Drosophila melanogaster: one gene and its partner. The protein of the gene in region 1 interacts with the protein of each later gene in a biochemical or structural test. Each region holds a gene or a part of one and is shown on either strand. Other genes may lie near its edges. The genes, in order: Rad23 and CG30031.

The links.
Region 2: of the proteins of Rad23 (region 1) and CG30031, one has a biochemical effect on the other in vitro, tested with the Drosophila melanogaster proteins (one study listed by BioGRID).

What each region holds. Positions count from the first base shown.
Region 1 is NC_004353.4:304,091-313,889, forward strand, and holds Rad23 (Rad23), read left to right. Parts: upstream 1-4,002; 5' UTR 4,003-4,133; coding exon 4,134-4,199; intron 4,200-4,322; exon of another isoform or gene 4,323-4,340; coding exon 4,341-4,989; intron 4,990-5,448; coding exon 5,449-5,543; intron 5,544-5,603; coding exon 5,604-5,927; intron 5,928-5,988; coding exon 5,989-6,099; 3' UTR 6,100-6,732; downstream 6,733-9,799. Other genes in the region: Syt7 (synaptotagmin 7), read right to left, coding at 926-1,086; Zip102B (Zinc/iron regulated transporter-related protein 102B), read right to left, coding at 8,700-9,208, 9,267-9,552, 9,658-9,756.
Region 2 is NT_033778.4:11,346,083-11,354,308, forward strand, and holds CG30031 (uncharacterized protein), read left to right. Parts: upstream 1-4,728; 5' UTR 4,729-4,744; coding exon 4,745-5,506; 3' UTR 5,507-5,539; downstream 5,540-8,226. Other genes in the region: betaTry (betaTrypsin), read left to right, coding at 260-1,021; gammaTry (gammaTrypsin), read right to left, coding at 3,012-3,773; CG30025 (uncharacterized protein), read right to left, coding at 7,516-8,226.

The DNA of each region.
Region 1 (9,799 bases):
GAAAAGAAAAAATAAAATAACACCCACCACCTTAGAAACTAAAAAAGATAGACAGTTGAGACTAAGCATGTAAATTCCAGAGACATAGGCACAGCTCAATATTGTTTCCTGATGTCGCCACGCCACAAAATTAAAACATTTTTCAAAATGTGAATAAAAATTTACGAGACTAGCAAAAATATGAAAATTCATTAATACATTTTTTAAAAGTGTCGGCGTGGCAGTTTTGGGATGGTTGTGGGCTTTAGAGTGGGCGTAGCATGAAGTTGGCAATTTAATAGAAATTTACAAAACTAATAAACGTATGAAAATACGACGGGCGGTAGTGTGGGCTTGGCAACATTTGTCTCTGGAAACTGCATGCATAATCTCAACATTCCAGCTTTTATAGTTCCTGGGATCGAGATCGGACAGACGGAATATATATACTTTATATGGTCGGAAACGCTTCCTTCTACCTGTTACTTACTTTTCATCGAATCTACTATACCCTTTTAATCTACAAGTAACGGGCATAATTAGCAATTTATATCGATTGGTTCCCGTTACAGAAGAATAAAATATTTTAACGTTAAAATTTTGTATTTGCCAATCAATCATCCGATAATAAGCTATAAATTATGATGTTTCATTAAACTGCATACAACTCAAAAATGTTGGTTTTTTGTAGCTAAATTATAATTATATATTATTATATATTGCAGAGCATGATATATAAATATTCTAAATATTCCGAGGGTACTCAACTAACGTATTTATAAAAAAGTCAAATGAATAGGACAATTTAGAAATACTGCATACTCAAAATCGTTGATAATATACAGTCATAGACATAAATAGATCCTCTATCGCTTGTTAAGAGTCGAATGTCTGTCCCCATGAAATATATAAAGTCATATACTAAACAGGAAATGCAAATACTTACCGAAGACTATAACTACTAGATTCCTCATCTTCATTTGGTTCAATAAACTGTAACTGTGATCTTTTATGCCTCCACCACAAGTATCCTCCAGCCAGAAAAAGAGCGATTGTAATAATTAATCCCAATATAGCCAAGCAAGCTATAAGTACTATGCTTGCCATGTCTGTAATAGTGAGAAGTATGTGTAATTTTTTTACGACAATTCGAATCTTAATTCAAGTAAATAACAAAGAAATCGATTATGTAAGATATAATATCTTCGGGCATACATATTTATTTCATGCAGATAAGAACGTAACTTTCTGTAACTAAGGTGTATAATAATATATAATAACAACACCCAACTTATTTTTATTTGTTTATTTTTTATACCACAGTACCACCACAGTATAAACTATGTCGCACTTTAAGATGTAGAGCATATAATATTGTTATTTAATGGCTTTCTTTTTAAAGGAGTACACATTGTTTTATGTTTGACTTATGTAAATCTCATAAAACTTGGTCCAAAACATTATTATTTGTTTAGTTCGCTGTCATAAAGGTTGCAGGTGCCGGAGATCCCAATTAAGAAATAAGCAAACCAAACTAATCCAACATTCAGTATAATTGTTACAGTACTCTATGTTTTTACACTGTCTTATTAGATTGCGTGTTGTTATTACAAATTTGAGTCTTTCCTTTGAATTTAAATAACGGCAAAAACTGTATTTTACTTTAAAACTACTTTATTCCTAAAACAATATGTCGTTTAAGTTAATATCGAGCTACTTATGCCAATGAAAACACGTCGAATACATTTTTTTATAAGAGCTCGTTTGCATGAAAAGCTCGACTCTGTGCGCATGTCATTGAAAATACTAGTATATGTATGCATATACATAGGTACGAGTTATAATACGGAGTACTTTGAAACATTTACCAAAATATAATTGTGGCTGAGTGCAGCCAATTTTGTTGTGCTACTCATTAGGAATTCCCAAAATCGGAACTTAGGGGGATAATAACTGACAAGAGTTCTGAATACAGCCATCCTTATTCTACCTTGACAAGTGCATCGAATTGTTTACTTCCTCTAGATCCTGTCATCAAATAGTTTTCTTGGCAGATCCCGATATGTCACGGTTAAAAAGAAAGCTAGGAGAGAGTGCACGAAGAAATGAAAATCTGATGCTAACACAAGAAATGAAATTAATTCACATGAATACACTTATTTATTATTATTAATTGATAAGTGGAAAAACAATGCATTCGTGTATTTTTTGTATTATTCTTTGCAAATGTCTAATGCACAAGATTATTATTACAATTAAAAATCTTCAACAGCAAATTTTTATTTTTTGTTTTTATGGTATATACAATTATTTAGAATTAACACATTTGTCATTTTTGAAATTGTATCTTTTAAAATTCTCGATATTTACTACATTTAAACACCCCACTGATGATACAGCAATAGTTATCTTAATTTCGAAATTTTCGTTAATCTTATATGAACTCAAATCATATATGTTCACAAGACAGAAGATAAGCATTGATGTATATCTTTTGAAAGGAATACGGTATTACCAAAGACACTAGAATAACAAGATGCGTAACGGCCATACATTGGTTTGCCCAAAGACCCTAGAATAACAAGATGCGTAACGCCATACGATTTTTTGGCACACGATTTTTTGGCCGTGGCTCTAGAGGTGGCTCCAGGCTCTCTCGAATTTTTGTTTGAGAGCGAGAGAGCGAAGAGCGCTACAGCGAACAGCTCTTTTCAACGCACAAAGTGGTAGGAGACATCTGTATGTGTGCACACGTATGCTCATGCATTGTAAATTTGACAAAATATGCCCTTCACCTCAGAAGTTTTTAGACTTTAAATCTATATTATTTTTGATCAATTGGCACCATGCGAAAAATTCTTGTTTTGCATTGCCTTAACGTTATTATTATTTGAAAATATATCAGAAATAGCCAAATCTATGTACATATTATCACAAAAATAAATTTCAAAAATGACTTTATATAAGAATATTTGTCATTAGAGTATTCATCTTGCGGCGTGTGAAAAATTAATAAGGCAATGATTGTTGAGTGCTTGTGTCCGCACTTCGTGCCTCAAGATATGAACAAAGCATTAGAATTATTCTAGTATATTACTTTGATATTACTTTTGCAATAAACAGTTATCATATTTAATTATTTAGTATATTTATTAAATCATTTGACTTAATATGATGTAACATTAACATTAAAAGTGTTTTAAAAAAATAATTTCTCTTTTAAAAAATTGTCAGATGAGAGACAAATTAGAATTAAACATAAATATAAATGTGTAAACGGTAGCTAATTCGAGCGGCGATTTTAACAAACAAATTTAAAAAGCTTTAAAATTATAATAGTCAGGGCGCGAATTTTTAAAAATTTTTTTATTTTATCATATTGCTAGGAAATTGGCAAAAACTACCCTAATATGTACCATGTAAATTCGTTTCTTCGATCAGAATTGATTTCGGCCCGAAAATCGTCTTCTAGCACAACACGCACACTTATACGCGTTCTCGTCTCTTGTTTTTACTCACACAAGCAATCAAATTATATTTTTAGATTTCTTACGCTCTCAGCGGGAGTGAGCGGAAAGAGAGTAATTTTGGCAGTCACCAAAGAAGTGGCTGCATAGTGCCAAACCAATGTATGGCCGTTACGCATCTTGTTATTCTAGTGTCTTTGGTTAAACTAAAGTATTTTTAAAGAAATACCGAACTACTTAAACGGAATTAAAAATTAAATTTCTTTGAAATTTATTGATCATCAACCGATGGTATATTATAAATAGACTTATATACTACAGGTATAACCTGTATATAGTATGATCTAAATCGTTGATATAATGAAATACTAACTACAGTCAAACCACGGACAATTGTTTATTTGTTACGTTCATTATGACTTCAATATTTCATATTTCATTATAAATTTCATTACAAATCTTTACATCTTTCTTGATGTGTGAAAATGTTATAAGGACTATTGAACTCTTTGGTTTGTGCTGCGATTTTGTGTCTTTTAAGCGAGAAGGTATAATTTGCCAGTCCATGTGCGGTCACACTGATGACAAATCGTTTTTATCAAGCGATATTGGGAACTAACTTTCGAGTTTGCATATGTGTATGCATATGTATATTTAATTAAGTTTTGGTTTTGTCTGATACACAAGATGATTATTACAATTAAAAATCTTCAACAGCAAACTTTTACTATTGAGTTTGCCCCGGAAAAAACGGTATGTGTACAAATAGTCAAATACTAGTATATTCACATGTATGGTATATACAATTATTGCAAATGCATATGTGTGCTTATACAGGTATTTCTTACAATTAATTTGTTGTACCATAATAAGCAGGGATTCTGATTACAAAAGGTTTTGGAACTGAAGAAGAAAATATTCGAGGAGCGCGGTCCAGAGTACGTCGCCGAAAAACAAAAACTGATCTACGCTGGCGTCATATTGACGGATGACCGCACCGTTGGTTCATACAACGTTGATGAAAAAAAGTTCATTGTGGTAATGTTGACACGCGATTCGTCTAGTTCAAATCGTAATCAACTTAGTGTAAAAGAAAGTAATAAATTGACTAGCACCGACGATTCAAAGCAATCTATGCCTTGCGAAGAAGCCAACCATACCAATTCGCCTAGTTCCACAAATACAGAAGATTCAGTTTTATCACGTGAAACCAGACCTTTATCTAGTGACGAATTGATTGGCGAGTTGGCCCAGGCTTCCTTACAATCGCGCGCTGAATCTAATTTGCTTATGGGTGACGAATACAACCAAACAGTCCTATCAATGGTGGAAATGGGTTACCCAAGAGAGCAGGTTGAACGTGCGATGGCTGCTAGTTATAACAACCCGGAAAGAGCCGTTGAATATCTCATTAATGGCATACCTGCAGAGGAAGGTACTTTTTACAATAGGCTGAATGAATCAACGAATCCTAGTCTAATCCCCTCCGGACCGCAACCTGCGTCGGCAACCTCTGCCGAGCGTTCAACAGAATCAAATTCAGGTAACTTGATGGGATTTCAATCAGCAGTCAATTTATGTATTCTTGTATGAAACGAAAATATATAATTTCTACCCAGAAGTACTAAATTTGCACACTTCAAAACATAGTGAAATTAATAAACCCGATTTGGCTCTCGCTCTTTAATGAAATTATACGGCCTTAACATAATTGCGTTAGTTTTCCTGGTCAAGAAATATTGTTGATCAAAACTTATGTTGCACATTCGTTAATAAATAATAAAAGAGTTCTCTTAGTACTGGAAATATATGCAGCTGTTAAAGATTCACTAAAATGTTTGTGAGCTCGTTGTCCCGCAGTATCATTTACATATATATGTCAACAGACACTAAAGGAGCGATAATTCACGAATTTTTGTCACTATTCTCTTCAAGGACAGGGCATCACTATATGTTTTTAGTTAATTTAATTATTATTTAATTATTTATATTTACGTTTCAGACCCCTTTGAATTTTTACGTAGCCAGCCACAGTTTCTTCAAATGCGATCTTTAATTTATCAAAACCCTCATCTTTTGCATGCAGTATTGCAGCAGGTAAGTACACTTATAATAATAATTACATGACACGTAAATGATAATTTTTTTTACGTATAGATTGGTCAGACAAACCCAGCCCTTTTACAACTTATTTCGGAGAACCAAGATGCGTTTCTCAATATGCTTAATCAACCGATTGACCGCGAATCGGAGTCAGGCGCCACCGTTCCTCCCGTTTCGAATGCGCGGATTCCTTCAACTTTGGACAATGTTGACCTCTTTTCTCCAGATTTAGAAGTAGCTACTTCAGCACAAAGATCAGCCGCGGGTACAAGTGCAGCACATCAAAGCGGTAGCGCAGCGGATAACGAAGACTTGGAACAACCTTTAGGAGTATCAACCATTCGTTTAAATCGCCAAGATAAGGACGCAATAGAACGGGTATATAGGAGTGAATAATTATATATGGACTGTCGAGTTACTTAATATATTCTTCTTCTAGCTAAAAGCTCTTGGATTCCCAGAGGCCCTTGTACTGCAAGCGTACTTCGCTTGTGAAAAGAACGAGGAACAAGCAGCTAATTTTTTGCTATCGTCTAGCTTCGATGATTAGGATGACAAAATGTAAGAAGTTATGCAAATAACACCGGAAGCGTTACATTTAAAGTTAGATGTTCTTAAATTAAATGTAAAATGTCGATCATAAAAATTCTTTTATATTCTTTTAATACCGTCGGCGTATTGTACTTGTTATTTGTTAAAAATTGCAGCCATGGGTAAAATAGAGTTACGATGTCATTTTTACTAAATATTTCACCACGACATTGTCTTCAGCATAAGACTGCAAATGTCTACAAATTTATCTGTGCCAATCCATGGTAGGGAGGCCTTGGATTAGGCCTTCACCTAATGGATGGCAAAGTATATTTCTAGTGTGTGTATTTCTAGTGTATATGCAATACACACATTAATTATTTTAAGGTCGTATTAAGCTAAAGAAGTCTTATGATTTATTCTTTCCTTATCTTGGTTGATTTATAAAATATTTTTTTGACTAGTGGGAGTCCACAATTAAGTCACTTAACACATAAAGTACTTTTTGTCGTCCTGGATGTTGGACATATGACTAAAATATATTAATCATTGTATTACATAAATTTCGTGTTTTTTTATTGTAAATAATGTCCGCAATTATGCCCTAATAAGCTGTGGCGTCTCTTTGGTGATTCCTTTCAGGATGAGTCGGAGAAATAAAACAATTTCATTAATTGCATGACATTCATAACAATTCTATAGTCGAGTGCCTCGACTATCAGATACCCTTTACTCACGAAAAAACTAATTAAAATTTTTATAAATATTTTTTATTGCTTATTTTTACAGGAATAAATGTTCTCCAGTTTTACAGTACTTAGATTATCATTAATTTACAAATATACAAAACTGTAGAACATTTGGACTTATGATACTTTTCTGCTTGCCAATTAATACGACAAATATAAAACTCGAACATTGTAATATGCATTATTAATGCAAAGAATTCTACACTTTAATATTAATAAATCTCTAATAGTTTCATGTATGGCTATGGTCCCCTCTATAATGTTGCTACAATTATAAATCTTTCCTGACTCAATGTAGATTCAAAGACACAAGAATTATTGGTAGATTTGGTAGAACGCAGGTAAGTGGAAAGAGAAGCACTCGTTAATACTTCTTTCCTTGACACGTTCCAGAACTTTAGACTGGGTCGAATTAACTTTATAAACATGGGCATACCCACCGGACCACAAATAACGTTATTCTAGTGTCTTTGGTTTGACTGTGTTAATGACAAATCTTTAAGCTCAAAATTGTAGTATAGAAACTCTTTGGTGACCATTGACACGAATAGGACTGCCGACCACAGTGACATACATATAAAGTGAAAACATACACATTTATGTGGAAATGGTCTGGCAACGACGAAAGACAAGCTTCACAGCTTATCTAACGACAAATCAAAAAGTTAGAACGATAGAGTGGTGTTTACACACAAACTACCGGATTGATGTACACTTTCTCATATCGATATGACGCAACCTAGTGATTTTGGAAGTATTAGTAAGATGCTACGCGGTGAAAAGATACAAAATATTATAAGATTGTATATATGTAAAGGGAAAACAATTTATCCTAATTTGAAACAAATCCATGCTACAAGTAATTGAACATTTTACCAAATTTTGTCGATTGTGCCCAAGGAGAAGAGAATCGAGATCAGGTTTCGGAATGGCAACGAAAAGGAATAGTACGCAAGTCGGCGCCGAATTTCGCCAGCAGACTCGTCATAGTCAAAAACAAAGATGGATCAACTTAACGCCATGGTTTAAAAAACTGCCTAAAACTGCAGTCAGCAAAGCTATTTGTCGTCGTGATTTTGGGAAACAGTTTTTTTCACGTTCTAGTAGAAGAGAAGTGCCCATAATACACATCATTTATAGCCAAAGAAGTTTTTAAAGATCTTTGCTAAGATATGATTCATATTTACAAGACAAGACAAGAACAGCGGAAATAAAGAACGCGCGAAAAATATTCCGCAAAGAAGTTGAGCAGAATTAAAGTAGAAAAGACGCAGAAAGGTATCTATAAATGTAGAAAGTCATAGCAGAAGTAGTTATAGAAATCCGTAATCTAAGGCCGTAACAGAAGACGTTATCCAGTAAACCAATGGTGACATTGCCAAGCTGCCTTTAAACCGTCTCTTACTTTTTACTACCATTCTGAGAACGTAAACTATCCATTGTTATTAAATACAATAAAAACATATATAATTATAAATTAACATATAGTATATAGGAGCCGGAGTCAAAATTCTGATGCCAATGAATTCGGCGCCGACTTGCGTACTATTCCTGCCTGCGCAAGTCTAAATATTAAAGTAAAATATTTCTTGCACTACTTTTTGACCTTCCTCATTTTGCTTGGTTTACTCACAATACATTCTCGTATAAGGCCTCTCAAATCACTCAACTTTACAGAAAGCTGACAAAAGTTGACGTCGGTACCAAATTTGACTTTCATGCGACAATTCATTAAATTCAAAATCTTTGTGCAAAGCACTTAATGTTAATAATTGTATATCCGAGAAATTAAACCCAATATATTTATAGCTTAATATCCCTTAACTTTTACTTCATCTTATTTGACAAAAATATATGTATTACTACATTACTAGTGATTATGTCCAAATGTTATAATTAGGGGTAGCAGTGCGCCGCAAATCAGAATTACCAATTCACTATATTTTAGTGCTTGAATACTATTGCTTCCATTTATATCATTCGTAGCAACACCTCGAGATTCCTCTAGCAAACAATAATCATGCTGATCGCTTTTCGTAAATCCCCCTTGGGTAAGCTCTGGTAAAACATGCACAGTTGCTACGTACAAAAATGTTCCAGCGGAGAATAGCATAGCTATACCAGTGGCATTCACGGAATTTAACGTGTCCTTCTGCTCCTGTCCGATCCCAAAATACGTTAAAATAGTCATAAGGGGAGCCGACAGGGAAAATAAGACTAGGTGTCTGCGAATTTGATGTCTGTCTACTTTTTCGTGCAGTAAGAATGTCACTAATCCAAATGCTGCTGGTGCCTTATGAAGCATTATAGCTAAAAATACAATTATCTCAACGTCTTGATGGCTAGTGGTGGCAGCTGCTCCCAATGCAACTCCATCAGCTGCAAAAGAACAACAATTTTTAAGATATGGTGGGTACACCAATATAAGCTTCTTTACCTGCGGCATGCACAACCAATCCAAGAGTTAGTGTGGCATTGTTTTTTTTATTACTTCCAACATTACTCTTCCGCTGAGAGATGTCCACCAACATCATGAAGACAAATCCAAGCACAAGAGAAAGTCCAATGGTCTGTGAGTAATCTGGTTGCTCCGGAACTGATGTCCGTTTTTGGGATTGGCCACTCCCCACATACAATGATCGAATGCCCTCCGGAATAATAACAACGAGAGCAGTTCCCACTAACAATCCAGCTCCCAGCACAGTGACACATTTTAGCTTTTCCTTTAATGACATTTATTAAGTAGAACAAATTAATGCACTAGTGGTGCTCCAAATACCTCACATTAAATTTTTTTTGTATTTAAAATGCCATTGTTTAGTACCGACCTCGCTTAATTTCATCAGCATCGGTATGCTCCCTGCCAAATAAGACCCCACAAGCATAACCAACACTAATAAAATGAGAATTATTGTCTCCTCAGCCATGATTGCCCAACTTAATTTTAATGAGCATAATACCATCAAAGCT
Region 2 (8,226 bases), on another chromosome or scaffold:
CCCTTTTATACAGTCCCCGCGGCAAATATCTCCACTTGATTGACAGCTGCAACTTCAGCATAATTGTTGCGTCATTTTCACCATCGATATAGGCGGTGATATTTAGAAATAATCAGCTTATCACACGACGACCACTCCACATCGTTATCCACTTTAACCACGAGGAATCTCACTTGTCCATTGATTAAACGCCTCCCGAGATAGTGACCCCCGATATAAGCACACTTTTCGGTTCGAAGAGTATCCATTCAATCGCACCATGCTGAAGTTCCTGATCCTGTTGTCGGCTGTAGCCTGCGCCCTGGGAGGCACCATCCCCGAGGGTCTCCTGCCCCAGTTGGATGGCCGCATTGTCGGCGGTACTGCTACCACCATCAGCAGCTTCCCCTGGCAGATCTCCCTGCAGCGCAGTGGCAGCCACTCCTGCGGTGGATCCATCTACTCCGCCAGGGTGATCGTGACCGCCGCTCACTGCCTGCAGTCCGTGTCCGCCTCCTCCCTGCAGATCCGCGCCGGATCCAGCTACTGGAGCTCTGGTGGCGTCGTCGCCAAGGTTTCCTCTTTCAAGAACCACGAGGGTTACAACGCCAACACCATGGTCAACGACATCGCTGTGCTCCATCTGAGCTCCTCTCTGAGCTTCAGCTCCACCATCAAGGCCATCGGTCTGGCTAGCTCCAACCCCGCCAACGGTGCTGCTGCCTCCGTCTCCGGATGGGGTACCGAGTCCTCTGGCTCCAGCTCCATTCCCTCCCAGCTGCGTTATGTCAACGTGAACATCGTCAGCCAGAGCCGGTGCTCTTCTTCCTCCTATGGCTACGGAAACCAGATCAAGAGCTCCATGATCTGCGCTTTTGCCAGCGGCAAGGACTCGTGCCAGGGTGACTCCGGTGGCCCACTGGTCTCCGGCGGAGTCCTCGTCGGTGTTGTCTCCTGGGGATACGGATGTGCTGCCGCTAACTACCCCGGTGTCTATGCCGATGTTGCTGCCCTCCGCTCCTGGGTGATCAACAACGCCTAATTATTTTTCGAAATAAATCATATATGAACAGTTTATGACGGTCGTCAGTTTATTTTAAAAGATGGTCTTAGTTAAAAATCAGGACACAGGGTTCACATTTTTAGATGGTAATGACTGTTCGAGTGCAATGACTATTAGATATAGTGAGTTGTGCAAGCAGTAAAGGGACTGCTTTTAGGACTATGGAAATTGATTGATTGGATTTAACTATCCCCATATTCTGTTAGAATGCCCTAAGGATTATTAGCGTGATTGGAATTGTAAACAACTAGGCATTATTAAGAAGCAAACTTGCGCAATGTAGTCGTAAATAAAACATGCATTTTTAACTACAACTTTAAAGCTCTATTAGTTTTCCAAGACTGTACGTTAGGCGGATAGGGAAATCTAGATCATGATCAAGAAGAATATGAATTTTATAGGCTCGATACGCATCATTCTACATAAGACTTACTTTATAACGATATATTCGTAACCATTTTATTTTTATACTCTTTACTCGTAGAGTAAAAGTGTATAATAGATTCGTTTAAATGTATCTAACAGCTACAAGTTAGTGTTTCCAATCATATAATGTACATATATTCTTGATCAGGATCGATAGCCCCATCCGTCTGTCGAGTTTCTTAGCAACTATAAAAGCTAGAAGCTTGAGATTAGGCATACAGATTCTAGAGACATAGACCCATATTTCCCCTTTCCCCTCCTCCCCTCCCTCCCCTCCCACAATTTTGAAAAATATTTTGATTTTTTTTCACATTTTTATTGTTTTGTAAATTTGTATCGATTCGCCAAAAATATTTTTGCCACGCCCACTCTAACGCCCACAAACCAATCAAAACTTTTTTTTCATTCATTCATTCATTCATTTCATTCATTAATTTCATTCATTCATTTCATTCATTAATTTCATTCATTCATTTCATTCATTAATTTCATTCATTTCATTCATTTCATTCATTTCATTCATTTCATTCATTTCATTCATTTCATTCATTTCATTCATTTCATTCATTTCATTCATTTCATTCATTTCATTCATTTCATTCATTTCATTCATTTCATTCATTTCATTCATTTCATTCATTTCATTCATTTCATTCATTTCATTCATTTCATTCATTTCATTCATTTCATTCATTTCATTCATTTCATTCATTTCATTCATTTCATTCATTTCATTCATTTCATTCATTTCATTCATTTCATTCATTTCATTCATTTCATTCATTTCATTCATTTCATTCATTTCATTCATTTCATTCATTTCATTCATTTCATTCATTTCATTCATTTCATTCATTTCATTCATTTCATTCATTTCATTCATTTCATTCATTTCATTCATTTCATTCATTTCATTCATTTCATTCATTTCATTCATTTCATTCATTTCATTCATTTCATTCATTTCATTCATTTCATTCATTTCATTCATTTCATTCATTTCATTCATTTCATTCATTTCATTCATTTCATTCATTTCATTCATTTCATTCATTTCATTCATTTCATTCATTTCATTCATTCATTTATATCATTCATTCATTTCATTCATATCATTCATTCATTTCATTCATTCATTTTCACTGTGGAGTTTCTATCGATATGCCAGAAGAAAGATGCTAGTTCGTTCACCCTGACACTAGCTGAGTAACGAGAGTATCTGATAGTCGGGGAACTCGAATATAGCATTCTCTTTTGTTAAAGAGTAAGTTCGGTTAACATAAGTTAAACTATGTAGTAATTGATCGAAAACGGGTACCTCAACAAATTACCTTTAATTTATTAAAATGATTTAAACCATTATTAACCTCCCGACAGAAATCTAGGTGTTTGTTATTTTTCAGGAGGTGAGAATACATTTTTTAGAAGGTTTCCTTTCCCATTTGCTGAATAAGACACATTACTGTTGAATCAGTAATAGGTCAAAACCACAATGAAACATAATAAAAGTAATATCCAAACTGAAATTTATTTCGCATACTTCTTAGGCATTGCTAATAACCCAGGAGCGGAGGGCAGCAACATCGGCATAGACACCGGGGTAGTTGGAGTAAGCGCATCCGTATCCCCAGGAGACAACACCGACGAGGACTCCGCCGGAGACCAGTGGGCCACCGGAGTCACCCTGGCAGGCATCCTTGCCGCTGGCAGCAGCGCAGATCATGGTGCTGCGGATCTGGCTACCGTATCCGTAGGTGGAGGAAGCACACTGGCTCTGGCTAACGATGTTCACGTTCACGTACTGCAGCTGGGAGGGGATGGAGCTGGATCCGTAGGAGAGAGTGCCCCATCCGGAGACGGAGGCCGCAGCGCCGTTGGCGGGGTTGGAGCTAGCCAGACCGATGGCCTTGATGGTGGAGCTGAAGGTCAGGGCGCCGTTGATCTTGATGATGGCAATGTCGTTGACCATGGTGTTGGCGTTGTAGCCCTCGTGGTTCTTGAAGGAGGACACAGAGAAGGTGACACCGCCGGAGCTCCAGTAGCTGGATCCAGCACGGATCTGCAGGACGGAAGCGGACACGGACTGCAGACAGTGAGCGGCGGTCACGATGACGTTGCTGGAGTAGATGGATCCACCGCAGGAGTGGCTTCCACTGCGCTGCAGGGAGATCTGCCAGGGGAAGCTGCTGATGGTGGTAGCAGAGCCGCCGACAATGCGGCCATCCAACTGAGGCAGGAGTCCCTCAGGGACGGTGCCTCCCAGGGCGCAGGCTACTGCAGACAACAAGATCACGAACTTCAGCATGGTGCGAATCCAATGAGTTGACTCTAAACTGGACACCCCTTTTATACAGGGACCTATCTCTTTGTGGCGCTCTTATCATAAATTTCAATTATTTTTATCACTTGCTTGTCAGGGAAATCCAAAATATTTTTTAAATGTGTGACCGACAAATAGATTTCGCGAATAAGAAGTATATACGTATACAAAGTCCAGATTCATGCCAAACGATTTTTTTTTGCAATAAGTTGGTCATTTAAATAGCTTGAAAAAGATAGTCACATAAAGATATCGGGGTTTAAACGAAATTAAAACAATTTATATTTCTATAAACAATTTATTGTGTTTTAAATAAACAGACACCATAATTTTTTAAAAGAAATTATATAACTTATGAGAAACATCATGAGCATTACTAGAAAACAATGCAATTGAACGCATAATCATGTAATTAAAATTAATGCAAAGGCGATTAAATTGTTCTTAAAATTAATGGTTTTACAAAATTCACAAATTAAAATGCTAAACAGTTATTTTCTTTTAAAAAGCCAATAATATTAATAGTTATGCACACAATTATGTATAATAATTGGATTAGATTAGAACTAAATCAAGTTGAATGACAAGCATCCACTTTTAAAAAATTCCACAATGTTATTGTACAAGTTTAATCCCCTATTTAAATATGTAAGTCGAAAAAAGACGTTCCCATCAATACCTTGCAAATTAAATATAATAAAAAGAACGCGAATTATTTAGAAAGGTAATATAAAAGTAGTTACACTTTCCTTGCATTTTTATTTATTTTTGTGATAAAGAGCCGTGCGACTTCTGAGTTGTGGAATATCATTTGGGCACTTCAACGGTATTATTTGGGTTTTCCTGACACGCAGGTGATAAAAATAATTGAAAGTTGTGATTATAGTGCCAAGAACAGATTGGAAACTCGTATAAAAGGGGTGTCCAGTTTAGAGTCAACTCATTGGATTCGCACCATGCTGAAGTTCGTGATCTTGTTGTCTGCAGTAGCCTGCGCCCTGGGAGGCACCGTCCCTGAGGGACTCCTGCCTCAGTTGGATGGCCGCATTGTCGGCGGCTCTGCTACCACCATCAGCAGCTTCCCCTGGCAGATCTCCCTGCAGCGCAGTGGAAGCCACTCCTGCGGTGGATCCATCTACTCCAGCAACGTCATCGTGACCGCCGCTCACTGTCTGCAGTCCGTGTCCGCTTCCGTCCTGCAGATCCGTGCTGGATCCAGCTACTGGAGCTCCGGCGGTGTCACCTTCTCTGTGTCCTCCTTCAAGAACCACGAGGGCTACAACGCCAACACCATGGTCAACGACATTGCCATCATCAAGATCAACGGCGCCCTGACCTTCAGCTCCACCATCAAGGCCATCGGTCTGGCTAGCTCCAACCCCGCCAACGGCGCTGCGGCCTCCGTCTCCGGATGGGGCACTCTCTCCTACGGATCCAGCTCCATCCCCTCCCAGCTGCAGTACGTGAACGTGAACATCGTTAGCCAGAGCCAGTGTGCTTCCTCCACCTACGGATACGGTAGCCAGATCCGCAGCACCATGATCTGCGCTGCTGCCAGCGGCAAGGATGCCTGCCAGGGTGACTCCGGTGGCCCACTGGTCTCCGGCGGAGTCCTCGTCGGTGTTGTCTCCTGGGGATACGGATGCGCTTACTCCAACTACCCCGGTGTCTATGCCGATGTTGCTGCCCTCCGCTCCTGGGTTATTAGCAATGCCTAAGAAGTATGCGAAATAAATTTCAGTTTGGATATTACTTTTATTATGTTTCATTGTGGTTTTGACCTATTACTGATTCAACAGTAATGTGTCTTATTCAGCAAATGGGAAAGGAAACCTTCTAAAAAATGTATTCTCACCTCCTGAAAAATAACAAACACCTAGATTTCTGTCGGGAGGTTAATAATGGTTTAAATCATTTTAATAAATTAAAGGTAATTTGTTGAGGTACCCGTTTTCGATCAATTACTACATAGTTTAACTTATGTTAACCGAACTTACTCTTTAACAAAAGAGAATGCTATATTCGAGTTCCCCGACTATCAGATACTCTCGTTACTCAGCTAGTGTCAGGGTGAACGAACTAGCATCTTTCTTCTGGCATATCGATAGAAACTCCACAGTGAAAATGAATGAATGAAATGAATGAATGATATGAATGAAATGAATGAATGATATAAATGAATGAATGAAATGAATGAAATGAATGAAATGAATGAAATGAATGAAATGAATGAAATGAATGAAATGAATGAAATGAATGAAATGAATGAAATGAATGAAATGAATGAAATGAATGAAATGAATGAAATGAATGAAATGAATGAAATGAATGAAATGAATGAAATGAATGAAATGAATGAAATGAATGAAATGAATGAAATGAATGAAATGAATGAAATGAATGAAATGAATGAAATGAATGAAATGAATGAAATGAATGAAATGATATGAAATGAATGAAATGAATGAAATGAATGAAATGAATGAAATGAATGAAATGAATGAAATGAATGAAATGAATGAAATGAATGAAATGAATGAAATGAATGAAATGAATGAAATGAATGAAATGAATGAAATGAATGAAATGAATGAAATGAATGAAATGAATGAAATGAATGAAATGAATGAAATGAATGAAATGAATGAAATGAATGAAATGAATGAAATGAATGAAATGAATGAAATGAATGAAATGAATGAAATGAATGAAATGAATGAAATGAATGAAATGAATGAAATGAATGAAATGAATGAAATGAATGAAATGAATGAAATGAATGAAATGAATGAAATGAATGAATGAAATGAATGAATGAAATTAATGAATGAAATGAATGAATGAAATTAATGAATGAAATGAATGAATGAAATTAATGAATGAAATGAATGAATGAATGAATGAAAAAAAAGTTTTGATTGGTTTGTGGGCGTTAGAGTGGGCGTGGCAAAAATATTTTTGGCGAATCGATACAAATTTACAAAACAATAAAAATGTGAAAAAAATCAAAATATTTTTCAAAATTGTGGGAGGGGAAATATGGGTCTATGTCTCTAGAATCTGTATGCCTAATCTCAAGCTTCTAGCTTTTATAGTTGCTAAGAACTCGACAGACGGATGGGGCTATCGATCCTGATCAAGAATATATGTACATTATATGATTGGAAACACTAACTTGTAGCTGTTAGATACATTTAAACGAATCTATTATACACTTTTACTCTACGAGTAAAGAGTATAAAAATAAAATGGTTACGAATATATCGTTATAAAGTAAGTCTTATGTAGAATGATGCGTATCGAGCCTATAAAATTCATATTCTTCTTGATCATGATCTAGATTTCCCTATCCGCCTAACGTACAGTCTTGGAAAACTAATAGAGCTTTAAAGTTGTAGTTAAAAATGCATGTTTTATTTACGACTACATTGCGCAAGTTTGCTTCTTAATAATGCCTAGTTGTTTACAATTCCAATCACGCTAATAATCCTTAGGGCATTCTAACAGAATATGGGGATAGTTAAATCCAATCAATCAATTTCCATAGTCCTAAAAGCAGTCCCTTTACTGCTTGCACAACTCACTATATCTAATAGTCATTGCACTCGAACAGTCATTACCATCTAAAAATGTGAACCCTGTGTCCTGATTTTTAACTAAGACCATCTTTTAAAATAAACTGACGACCGTCATAAACTGTTCATATATGATTTATTTCGAAAAATAATTAGGCGTTGTTGATCACCCAGGAGCGGAGGGCAGCAACATCGGCATAGACACCGGGGTAGTTGGAGTAAGCGCATCCGTATCCCCAGGAGACAACACCGACGAGGACTCCGCCGGAGACCAGTGGGCCACCGGAGTCACCCTGGCAGGCATCCTTGCCGCTGGCAGCAGCGCAGATCATGGTGCTGCGGATCTGGCTACCGTATCCGTAGGTGGAGGAAGCACACTGGCTCTGGCTAACGATGTTCACGTTCACGTACTGCAGCTGGGAGGGGATGGAGCTGGATCCGTAGGAGAGAGTGCCCCATCCGGAGACGGAGGCCGCAGCGCCGTTGGCGGGGTTGGAGCTAGCCAGACCGATGGCCTTGATGGTGGAGCTGAAGGTCAGGGCGCCGTTGATCTTGATGATGGCAATGTCGTTGACCATGGTGTTGGCGTTGTAGCCCTCGTGGTTCTTGAAGGAGGACACAGAGAAGGTGACACCGCCGGAGCTCCAGTAGCTGGATCCAGCACGGATCTGCAGGACGGAAGCGGACACGGACTGCAGACAGTGAGCGGCGGTCACGATGACGTTGCTGGAGTAGATGGATCCACCGCAGGAGTGGCTTCCACTGCGCTGCAGGGAGATCTGCCAGGGGAAGCTGCTGATGGTGGTAGCAGAGCCGCCGACAATGCGGCCATCCAACTGAGGCAGGAGTCCCTCAGGGACGGT